Macaca mulatta: one gene and its partner. The protein of the gene in region 1 purifies or fractionates together with the protein of each later gene. This does not show direct contact. Links are inferred from orthologs where the notes say so. Each region holds a gene or a part of one and is shown on either strand. Other genes may lie near its edges.

Region 1 (5,290 bases):
TTTGTTTTTGTTTTTTGGAAACAAGGTTTCACTGTGTTGTCCAGGCTGATCTTGAACTCCTGGATTCAAGCAATCCTCCCACCTCAGCCTCCCAAAGTGCAGGGATTAGGATTATAGGTGTGAGCCTTGTGTCCTGGCCATTGTTCTGTTTGTTTTTGTTTTTTGGGTTTTTTTTTCTTTTTTGAGACAGAGTCTCATTCTGACACCCATAGTGGCACAATCTCGGCTCACCGCAACCTCCGCCTCCCGGGTTCCAGCGATTCTCCTGCCTCAGCCTCCTGAGTAGCTGGGATTACAGGCGTGTGCCACCATGCCCGGCTAGTTCTTGTATTTTTAGTAGAGACAGGGTTTCAGCATGCTGGCCAGGCTGGTCTCGAACTTCTGACCTCAGGTGATCTGCCCGCCTCAGCCTCCCAAAGTGCTGGGATTACAGGTGTGAGCCACTGCAACCAGCCCCTGTTCTGTATTTTTATAAACTCTTCCAAAATTGGAAATTTTTCAAAATGAAAAGTTGGGGAAAATGACATTTAGAAATTATTGAGTACTGTGTCTGCTTTAACAGCACATATATTAAAATTAGAATGATACAGAGAAGATTAGCATGTTCCCTGCACTAATATGACATGCAAATCTGCAAAGTAGTGAATACTTAAATATGCTGTGATTTTTTAAAATTTCACCAAGTTACCCTGTTTGTATTGAAAAAAGTACAAATGAGATTTAAGGTTGAACCTTAAGACTAACAATAGTAAATCTGCACCTCAGTAACTTTTAACTTCTACATTCCTAGGGTTGCCATCTACCAGACTTGGCACCTTTCTAGAGAATCGTGTGAATGACTTTCTGAGGCGACAGAATCACCCTGAGTCAGGAGAGGTCACTGTTAGAGTAGTTCATGCTTCTGACAAAACCGTGGAAGTAAAACCAGGCATGAAAGCAAGGTATCTAGTCATTTCACTTTTCTTCTCTTGTGGATCCAAAATTGCTCATACGTGGTTACCATTGGTGATTGCAATCTGAATGAATTTATGTTGTGGTCCTCCCACTATCTCAATTGTATAGGTTTGTGGACAGTGGAGAGATGGCAGAATCCTTTCCATACCGAACCAAAGCCCTCTTTGCCTTTGAAGAAATTGATGGCGTTGACCTGTGCTTCTTTGGCATGCATGTTCAAGAGTATGGCTCTGACTGCCCTCCACCCAACCAGAGGTATGACTGGCTCACAGTGGCTAGCTCCGGATTTGTGTGGGAGTTCCAAATTATAATAGGCGGAAGAGTATAACAGGCAAGAAAATGTTGAGTGTGCTTGGTTTGGAAATGCAAAATCTCAAGTATACAATAATTGTAAAGTGAAACAGATTAAAAAGCAAACCCCCAAACAAAATAACTGCTTGATTCTGCTCTTCTGTGGCCATAATAATAAAGGATATGAATAGCAACCTGAAATGGGAATTTGGAAACAAACGTACTACTCTTCAGAAAATGAGCTTAAATCTGGATAATGTATAGGAATCACCAAATACTGATGGATGTGTATGTGCCAGGCACTGCTAGTTACTTCAAATAGAAGGAAACCACAGGCTCGCTGAACTTTCCTGAAGGGTTCACAGTGGAGTCGCCCACCTGCCTGTGATGAGTTTCATAAATAACGATGTGAGCAAAGAGCCTGGGAGAGTGAGAGAGAGTTATTAGGCACATGGAATAAATAACTCAGTAGATTTGACTTTTCTTTTTTTCTCTTCATTTTGTATAGGAGAGTATACATATCTTACCTCGATAGTGTTCATTTCTTCCGTCCTAAATGCTTGAGGACTGCAGTCTATCATGAAATCCTGATTGGATATTTAGAATATGTCAAGAAATTAGGGTAAGCATATTTTGATAAATTTTTTTTTATTAGGACATTCTGGTGAGATACAGGTTAAATTTGCAAATATGTAACTCTTTGCCTTTTTTTCCTCATTTTAGTTCTTACCTAACAAGTCTCTCAACTTTGTTAGAGCCCCTTCGAAGTTAATGTTGTCAGTAGGAGAGAAATGGATATGTTGACTCTATCACCTATCCAACATCAGTTTTGTTTTGTTCAGCTGAGCTATTGGGTCCAGTTTGCTTTGAAGTTTGATTTGTGCCTCTCATTTGAGGGCAGAATTTTAACTGCATTTGATCCTTTTATAACCTGGGTATCAAGACCAGAAACAGCTCTGGAAATACTTCTTACCTTTAGAGTATGTATGTCATTGGAAACATTCATTCCCTCATCTTGAAGACTGTTTCTCTGAATAGTGTGCCTTTTAATTTAGCTCTCTTGTTAAACGGGTCAATTTTCCTTCACAACGTAATCTTCATTTGGTCTTAACATGCAAACTTAGGGTTTTTGGATCCAGGGCTAAGTCATCTGCTTTCTGGCTGAGATTCACAACATCCCGCCATGGCCTCCAAAAATAAGTAGAGGCAGTATGAGATCCATTGTTTAAATTACTGTGAGTTATGCCTAATTTTGGTCTCACAATGTTAATCTCATGCTGGGTTATACACTGTGTTATCTTGGGAAAAATTATTGGTATCTATATCAACTCCACCTTGTGGTTTTAAAGTGTAGCCTTCTAGAATAGATGATCTTTTTTCCTTAATGTTCTCTTTGTATTGCTAGTTACACAACAGGGCATATTTGGGCATGTCCACCAAGTGAGGGAGATGATTATATCTTCCATTGCCATCCTCCTGACCAGAAGATACCCAAGCCCAAGCGACTGCAGGAATGGTACAAAAAAATGCTTGACAAGGCTGTATCAGAGCGTATTGTCCATGACTACAAGGTCAGTTGGGACATGGGGGCCAGGTGCTGACAGTAGATCTGGAAATACACTAATGTTGCTGCTCTGTATTCTGTCATTTAACTTTTTTTTTTTTTAAACAAAAGTCTTATTTGTTCTACCTCTTGCATGTAATTCCTAAAAATGCTAATTTGTTGCTTTTATTTTGTATATTCAAAATTTTCTAATGTAAGAAAAACCAGGTTTTGAAGAGTGGTAGATCAAGAAGATCAAGAGATCCCTGTTTTAAAAAACATGTAACCAAAATTTTATTTTTTTTTTTTTTAGGGGGGTACAGTTGGGGTATCGCCATGCTGCCCAGGCTGGACTTGAACTTTTGGCCTCAAGCAGTCCAAAGTGCTGGGATTACAGGCATGAGCCACTGTGCCTGGCCTTAAAATACATCTTTTTGTTTGTTTGGTTTGGGTTGGTTAGGGTTTTAGGGGTGGGGATGTTTTGTTTTCAGACAGGGTCACTCTCTGTCACCCAGGCTAGGGTACAGTGGCATGATATCTGCTCACTGCAACCTGTGCCTCCCAGGCTCAAGCCATCCTCCCACCTCAGCTTCCTGAGTTGCTGGGACTACAGGTGCACACCACCATACCTGGCTAATTTTTGTATATTTTTTGTAGAGACAGGATTTCACTATGTTGCCCAGGCTGGTCTCAAACTCCTGAGCTCAAGTGATCCACCCATCTCAGCCTCCCAAAGTGCTGGGATTACAGGCATGAGCCACCTCACCCAGCCAAAAATATGGTTTTTTTTTTTTTGTTTTTTGTTTTTGGACAGTTTCACTCTTGTTGCTCAGGCTGGAGTGCAACGGTACGATCTAGGCTCACTGCAATCTCTTATTTCCCAGGTTCAAGCGATTGTCCTACCTCAGCCTCCCGAGTAGCTGGAATTACAGGCATGCACCACTACACTGGGCTAATTTTTTGTATTTTTAGTGGAGATGGGGTTTCTCCATGTTGGTCAGGCTGGTCTCGAACTCCCAACCTCTGGTGATCTACGTGCCTCAGCCTCCCAAAGTGCTGGGATTACAGGTGTGAGCTACTGCACCTGGCCAAAAATATATTCTTTCTTAATACTATTTTAAACATTCATGAATATAGGCTGTCTCATGATACAGACTTGTCTTCCTCAATTTAGTAGTTCAACTAAATAAAGAAGTTTTCCTAAGCTGCCCAGCGAATCATTCTGCAGCAGATACTGTTTCCAGTATTTGTAGTTTTGGGCATTTTGAACAAAGCTATCAATAAAAGCTGCTGAAATTCCAAAGATGGGTGTGAGGAGGGCATGCCTCACACCACATACTCTGTGGTAAGGGCCATGGCTTGCATGATGGTGCTACCACCCTGACATCGATCCTCGCAGAATAATTGCCACTTGATTATATAAAGGCAGATAAGCTCCCTGCTTTTGTGGGTAGAAGAAATAGAAAACCAGAAATACTGACTTTAGGCCAGGCCTTTTCACTGTTTTTCTAAATAGCTCCCTGGTTTATGGCTTAGGTATATAGTCTCTGCCAGCTTTCAAGACATTTTAAGCTTTCATGTTTCTTGTCAGCCATGATTCTTTATAATCAATGCTTTAAAAGAACATAGGAATTCCTATTTGTACATGCTTGTTTTCACAGGATATTTTTAAACAAGCTACTGAAGATAGATTAACAAGTGCAAAGGAATTGCCTTACTTCGAGGGTGATTTCTGGCCCAATGTTCTGGAAGAAAGCATTAAGGAACTGGAACAGGAGGAAGAAGAGAGAAAACGAGAAGAAAACACCAGCAATGAAAGCACAGATGTAAGGGCATTGAGTTTCCTTTGAAACTTCTATAATATTTAATCCAAAAGTGCATTTAAACTTTCTTTTTTTTTTTTTTTTTGAGACGGAGTCTCGCTCTGTCGCCCAGGCTAGAGTGCAGTGGCACAATCTCGGCTCACTGCAAGCTCCGACTCCCGGGTTCACGCCATTCTCCGGCCTCAGCCTCCCGATTAGCTGGGACTACAGGCGCCCGCCGCTGTGCCCGGCTAATTTTTTCTATTTTTAGTAGAGACGGGGTTTCACCATGGTCTCGATCTCCTGACCTTGTGATCCGCCCGCCTCGGCCTCCCAAAGTGCTGGGATTACAGGCGTGAGTCACCGCGCCCGGCCTAAACTTTCAATTGGGTTTTAAACCTCTCAGGTGTGAAAGAGCTCTTTAAGTTGGGCAAGAAATGTTGGCTTAGAAAGGTTACTAGGGTTCCGTTTCAGTGGTATTAAACTTTCAAAACATCAGACCCCATTTTAAAATGGTATCTCAGACTATGAGTAATGTGAAATGATAAAAGAAACTGAAGGAAATCCTGAAAAACTGATAACTTATGTGAAGGACTAGGTTATTAATATTATAGGCCTTGTGTGTCACATATCTCTGGCATATTTTCTCTCTTCTAAAACCACACACGCTCTTTTTAAATGTAAAAACCATTCTTAGCTA
Region 2 (5,996 bases), on another chromosome or scaffold:
AGCAATCTGCTTTTCAATTTTACTTATGCAGTTTAAGATAGTCAATTTCTTTTGGCACTTAGGAACTAGAGGGATACAGTTCATAAAAAAGGTCTACCAACCCTTAGTGAAGCTGAAATGAGGTGAAATAAAGGCCTACCAATCCATAAATGTATTTAAAAATAACAATGCCTAATACAATTTTACATTTTTACATCTTAATCTGCTTATAAAAAAGACATTAAAACTATTCACATCCCCTATAACGAAACACTAAAATTACAAATCTATTTACCAATAATAGCTTAACATTGGTTTAACTTAAAAAAAAAAATCTGGACGTACTAACCATTTGCTGTAGACTATACCAAATACCAAACTTCTCTTTCTTCAGTGACTATTCAAAATATCACTCCACAAATCAATTCCTATGATCTACCCCCCCCCCACACACACACGAGAGGGTTTTCATTATTTTAACAGGTGAACAAATCTACACAATACAACAGTGATGATCCAAATGTAAAATTCACAATTAACAGTCTAAAAACTATTCCTACCCTATTTGTATTAACCCCTCACATAACACAGGCGAGCTCCTCCCCTTGCCCCGGACACTGTGAAAACACTACAGAAAGAATCCCACCACATCTTACCTGACTAGCAGTCGTAATAAAACAAAAATATACTTTTGCCAATCATATTCAACTGTAAGTATTGCAGTATTAGCATGCATGTAAATACAATTTCTTACATATACTTTTCTAACACTGATAGTCATATTCAATTTCAAAAGATAAAGTACTATCTAAGCAACTTGCCAATTTCAAAGGCTGCTAAATGTTTCACTTACGCCCCTTACAAAAAAAACTCACTGCAAATTTAAGTAGTCTGCAAAAACTAAAAATCAACGATTTTGAATGGTCACTAAAAAAGCAAAAAGTGTTCACTCCTGCATACAAAAGGATAATTCAAATAATAAACCCCCATTTTTTAAAAATAATGTATGATTTAAAACAGTAAGATCCTGTAACTTCCAACAGAAAATGCTCCAGTTTCAAAAATACTAAAAACTAAAGACACTCCTTCTAGTTGATACTATCTATGGCCGATAGGCTGTGCTTGAAAATTTTGTAGTGTTCAGCGAAGGAGTTTTCAGCACTGATAGGAATTGCTCAAACATCCATTTTGGAGTCCTCTACCCCCGCCCTCTCAGACTTCATTTTGTGAAGAATTTTGCGCGAGGTGCCGCAGTGACAATTTCGAGAAAGCCTGGGCTGGCTTCAAATCCAAACAGGGACGCGAAAGAGCAGGAAAGGGCGCCCTGGAGCCCAGCGGCCCGTGCGGCTCGGGAGAAGCGCGGGCGCCGGGGAGGCCTTTTGGGCGGGCGCGCTACGGGCCCCGGATGGCGGGCGCCGGGCCTCAGCGGGGGCGGGCCGCGCGCGGGACTTACCGCTCCGGCGGCGGCGGGGGCCCCGGCTGCGGCGGCCGCCTCCTCCTCGTCGTCGCCCGGCGATGGCGGCCCTATCTTGCTGCAGGTAGCGGCCAGCAGAGCGAGCGGTGACGGCTGAGTGTCCTACCCCCAATGGGCGGGTTCAGAGAGGGAGACAGGGGGAGGGGGTGGCGGTTAGGGCCGGGCGGCCGCTCGCACAGGAAGTGCGACTCGATCCCCGCCGACTGCGCCCGGGCGAGCGCCAACCCGCACTCTCCTCCTCCTCCTGGTCCCGCCGCCGGCCCCCGCCTGGCGTCCCCCGCTCCACGAACCCCGGCTCCCCGGTCTGCGGGCAGGCGGGCGGCGGGCTAGCGCGCCGGGCCTCCGCCTTCCGCCCGGAACCCACCCCCGAGAGGGCACGCTGGGGCCCACACTCACACGCGCACAAAAAGGCGGCAGGCGGGCGGGGCGGGGCGTCGCGGGCGGGGTCGGAGCGTTGGCGCCTCGGGCGGGCAGCTCCCGAGGCGGGGGGAGGGGAGGGGTGGGGAGGGGAGGGGAGAGGCGAGGAGGGAGGGGTGAGGCGAGGAGGGAGGGGAGAGGCGAGGGGAGGAGAAAGCGGCGCGAGGGGGGAGCCGGGCCGGGGCTCAGCCGCTCCTCACCTGGGCCGCCGCCGCCGCCGCCACCGCGCCGTTTCCGTGCTGTTGCTGCTGCTGCAGATACTCGCCGTGGCCGCCGCCGCCACCACCGCCGCCGCCGCTGTCCACGTCCAAGGCAGCCATTTCCTCTTGTTTCACGGGCTTTTCGGGAGCTGCAGGCACAGCGCGGGGGGGTGGGGGTGGGGAGGAAGGCGGGTGGCGGAGAGGGAGGGGGCCCGCGGGCCGAGGCGAAATTACTCCCAAAGCCCGGACCCAGGCCCCTTCCCCTCCCCCACCCGCCCCCCGGCGGCGGCGGCGGCGGCGGCGGCTCCCTCCTCCCCTCCTGCTGCTGCCCCCGCCCGCCGCTGCCTGTAACCCTCCTCCTCCTCCTCTTTCCCTCCTCCTCCTCCTCCCCGCGCTGCCCCTGCCCCCTCTCCTCTCCTCCCCTTTCCCTTCGCGCCGCTCGCTCTCACTCGCGCTCGCTCCTCTCGCACCGTCAGTCACTCACACACGCCCGCCCGCGCCCGCACACAGGGGGATGCGCTCCCGGCGGACCGGGCCGCCCGCCCCGGGGCCTGGCGGGGAGACGGCGTTGCTGGGGCTTCGGGGGTGGACGGTGGCTGGCGGGGAGGGGAGGGAGGCGCAGGGGAGTGCAGCTTTCTGCCTCTCACAGACACTCGGTCGCACACACGGGGCCAGGACCGGCGGCAGCGGCCCCGGGCTGGCTGTGGTCGGCGGCAGCGGCGGCGGCGGCAGCAGCAAGGGTTGCTCTCTCGGCTTTACGTACCGGTCATAGTGTGTTTAGGGCACCTCAGGCGGGGCTCCCCGCCGCCTTACACATGGTGAGGAGCGAAGGCGGCGGCGGCGGGAGAGGATGCGGGAAGCGGCGGCGGACACGGCCGGAGCGGTCCGGGGATTTTTTTTTCCTATTTTGATTGACTGTGCGGGAAACACAAAAGGTGGAGCCTCCAGCCCAAAAGGGGGGAAGAGGGTGACAGCCTGCCCGGAACTCCCGCCCCTCTTCTTGGCCCTCATTCGCCGCCGTGTTCTCCGTCGGATGTGCTCATTGGTCCAGGCGCCCGTCCGTCGCTGTGCCAGGCGGCGCGCTTCCTGTTTGCCCCCCGGGTGGAAGGGGCGAGACAATGAGCGGCCGTGGCAGCGTAGGTTTCCGAGAGCGGCTACGGCTCGCCGGTTACCCCGCTGTGTCCGCCTCTCTCGCCGGCTGCCGCTGCCAGGCCCGAGGCGCAGGCCTCCTCCACCTCGCAGGCGCTCGGAGCAGGCCTAGCCAAGCTGTAGGGGAGCTGAGCTGGGGAGGAAATTCGTCCCCGGTGACTCCGGCTCCACTGGAGGCTACCTCCATCCCGGCAGCAGCCTCGGCCGGATTTCCCCAGGGCCTCGCGCTCTTGGAGCCGCCGCTTGCCTGAGCTGCCAGGAGGGCACCGCCGCTCAGCCCCGGGGCTGCTGCTGCGGCCGCTGCCGCTACTGAGCAAACCAGACCCGCCCCACGAGCCCGGGGGGAGGGAGCTGGTATTAGGGGAGACACCCCCTCCGAGGCTGGAGGAGGATTTTTCTCACACACATCCAGCTTTCTGATTCACAGACAGCCATCTCGCTCCCAGCCCCCTTAGCCCCAGCTTTCCAACCGGTCTCCCACTTTCACGTACCGTGAAGGCAGGCATTTAAAGCAAAAAAATTTCAAGTCACCTCACATACGGAAGGAGAGTTTTAATTTTGGCCAGTGGCACCAAAACGGGCACTTAAAAGTATATTTCATTTTACCTGTGGTATGTGTATGTATCCAATGGGGCAGAATACTGTTTTTTTAAAAAGTCAGTCACATAATCATTTTGCTGCACAAACGTATTATCCCCAGCCTCTTAATCCTCTTGGTACCAAGTCAGATATCTCCTGAAACAAGCCCATCAACCATTGCCAACGTTTTTAAAGTCGTGAACTGGTGAAGTACCTTTTTTCCCCCATTGGAACATTTTTGTTGTATTTTAAAATCTTGTTTCACTCATTGGATTAGGTTAAAACTCCTTCCTTCTTTGGCAACCTTGATATCTTGCTGTCATCCTGGGGGAAAATGCTGAGGTTTTATGTCTGTGTTTTGCCAACTAAGAGATATCTCTCCCTGTTACCTTCAAGTATAGTTGCCAACAAAGAAGTTAAATTCAAGAGGTGGAAACACTGTCCACAATACCTCTTTTTTAGAAATCTGGCTCAAGAATCAGTTTTCCCATTACTGTGATGATTGTATTTTGTGTGATATGTGATGATGTGCTGGTGGATGAGGTTGTGAAGCACTTCAACTAGATTTTGTGTGTACTAACTTAATAGGTAATCCATTTGTGAGATAGCGAGTTTGCATCCCAGTTCCAAAGCAGTTAACCGCCTATGCTCACAGGATCAGAAACATTGTATGGTTACTTTGCTCTTAATTGTACAAAGATCGAATTTCTAGGGAATTGACCTAAAAACCACAAACATGCGGAAACGAGACTCAAAATTCTGAGTCCAAGAATAAGGTTCATCTCTCCTAATAGTAAGACCTTGTAGTCTCATTTAATTGGAAAAATAACTTCAAAGTTGAATGGTATAACCTGTGTACTATTTTACAACAAAAACTTTTAAGGAAATAAAAGTCACAAAATAACCTGATTTGGGGTGGGGGGAAGGGAAAAAGAGATGGGTGCCCTGAAGAGCAGGACAGGTGAAAAGTGAAAAGTAGACTGGGAGAGAGGAAGGGAAGTCACTATTATCACTCTGTTCCTACCTGGATCTGTTGGGTGGAAGGTAGCTCTTTCCCTAGAAAGGATATTTTAGGCATTTTCAGATTTTTTGTTTGTTTGTTTTTTCAGGAGTGGGGATATGTTCTACACTATTGCCATACCATTTTTGCAAAGTGTTAGTCCAGCCACCTAGAGAGCAAAGTATTTGGCCACAGGAATTAAATTCATTTCTTCATTCATACCAGTTGGCAAATGATACAAGACATGAAGTCTTTTTTCTTTCTTTTTTGCGGGGTGGGGATGGCACGTCCATAGACCATTTTAACAAACAAAAAAACACGGAAAAAAAAAAATAGCCTAGCTGGGCACGGTGGCTCATACCTGTGATCCCAGCACTTTGGGAGGCCGAGGACGGCAGATCACTTGAGGTCAGAAGTTCGAGACCAGCCTGACTGCCATGGTGAAACCCCGTCTCAACTTGAAATACAAAAATTAACCAGGCACGGTGGCGCACACATGTAATCCCGGCTACTCAAGAGGCTGACACAGGAGAATTACTTGAACCTGGGAAGTGAAGTTTGCAGTGAGCTGAGATGGCACCACTGCACTCCAGCAAGACAGAGACTGTCTAAAAAAATTTTTAAATGACCTACCTGAACTAACTATACTGCTTTTGATGGGATGCTTTTAAGAGATATATATAGAGAGGTGGGGTGACAAAGAGAGGTTGGTTAATTGGTACAAACATACAGTTAGATGGAAGGAATAAGTTCTAGTGTTCAGTAGCACAGTAGGGTGACTATAGTAAATAGCAATATATTATATATTTCAAAATAACCAGAAGGGAAGATTTGAAATGTTCCCAACACAAGAAATGACAACCGTTCAAGGTGACAGGGGAGAGAGGGCAGAAAAAAAATGTCCAAAGTGATAGATACCCTAAACACTCTGATTTGATCATTACAACACTGTATGCGTGTATCGAAATACCACATGTACCCCGTAAATGTGTACAAATATGTATCAATTTTTTAACAACAAAAGATGCATATACCAAAAGCATCACTCGCTACTTTAGTCAGATTCAGAGAACCCTCTTAGACCACACTTGAGTTACTGTCATGGAATATCTTTTAAAAATGGCTGGAAATGAAGATAGTCTTTTGAAAGAACACCTTTTCCTGCCTATTTCAGTATTGTAATCAAGTCATGAAATAT

Evidence for each region. Proteins that work in one complex are often made in the same cells at the same time.
Region 2: the proteins of EP300 (region 1) and SP3 purify together in Homo sapiens (affinity purification with western blotting; 4 studies listed by BioGRID, with this or other methods). This does not show direct contact. The link is inferred for Macaca mulatta from reciprocal best matches to the Homo sapiens genes EP300 and SP3.

The regions. Positions count from the first base shown.
Region 1 is NC_133415.1:10,343,946-10,349,235, reverse strand, and holds part of EP300 (histone acetyltransferase p300), read left to right. Parts: intron 1-550; exon of another isoform or gene 551-653; intron 654-790; coding exon 791-941; intron 942-1,062; coding exon 1,063-1,209; intron 1,210-1,753; coding exon 1,754-1,867; intron 1,868-2,650; coding exon 2,651-2,816; intron 2,817-4,449; coding exon 4,450-4,614; intron 4,615-5,290. UniProt on the Homo sapiens protein: Functions as a histone acetyltransferase and regulates transcription via chromatin remodeling. Acetylates all four core histones in nucleosomes. Histone acetylation gives an epigenetic tag for transcriptional activation.
Region 2 is NC_133417.1:78,863,392-78,869,387, forward strand, and holds the start of SP3 (transcription factor Sp3), read right to left. Parts: upstream 3,540-5,996; 5' UTR 2,841-3,539; coding exon 2,834-2,840; exon of another isoform or gene 2,520-2,833; intron 2,220-2,519; coding exon 2,071-2,219; intron 1,556-2,070; coding exon 1,433-1,555; intron 1-1,432. UniProt on the Homo sapiens protein: Transcriptional factor that can act as an activator or repressor depending on isoform and/or post-translational modifications. Binds to GT and GC boxes promoter elements. Competes with SP1 for the GC-box promoters.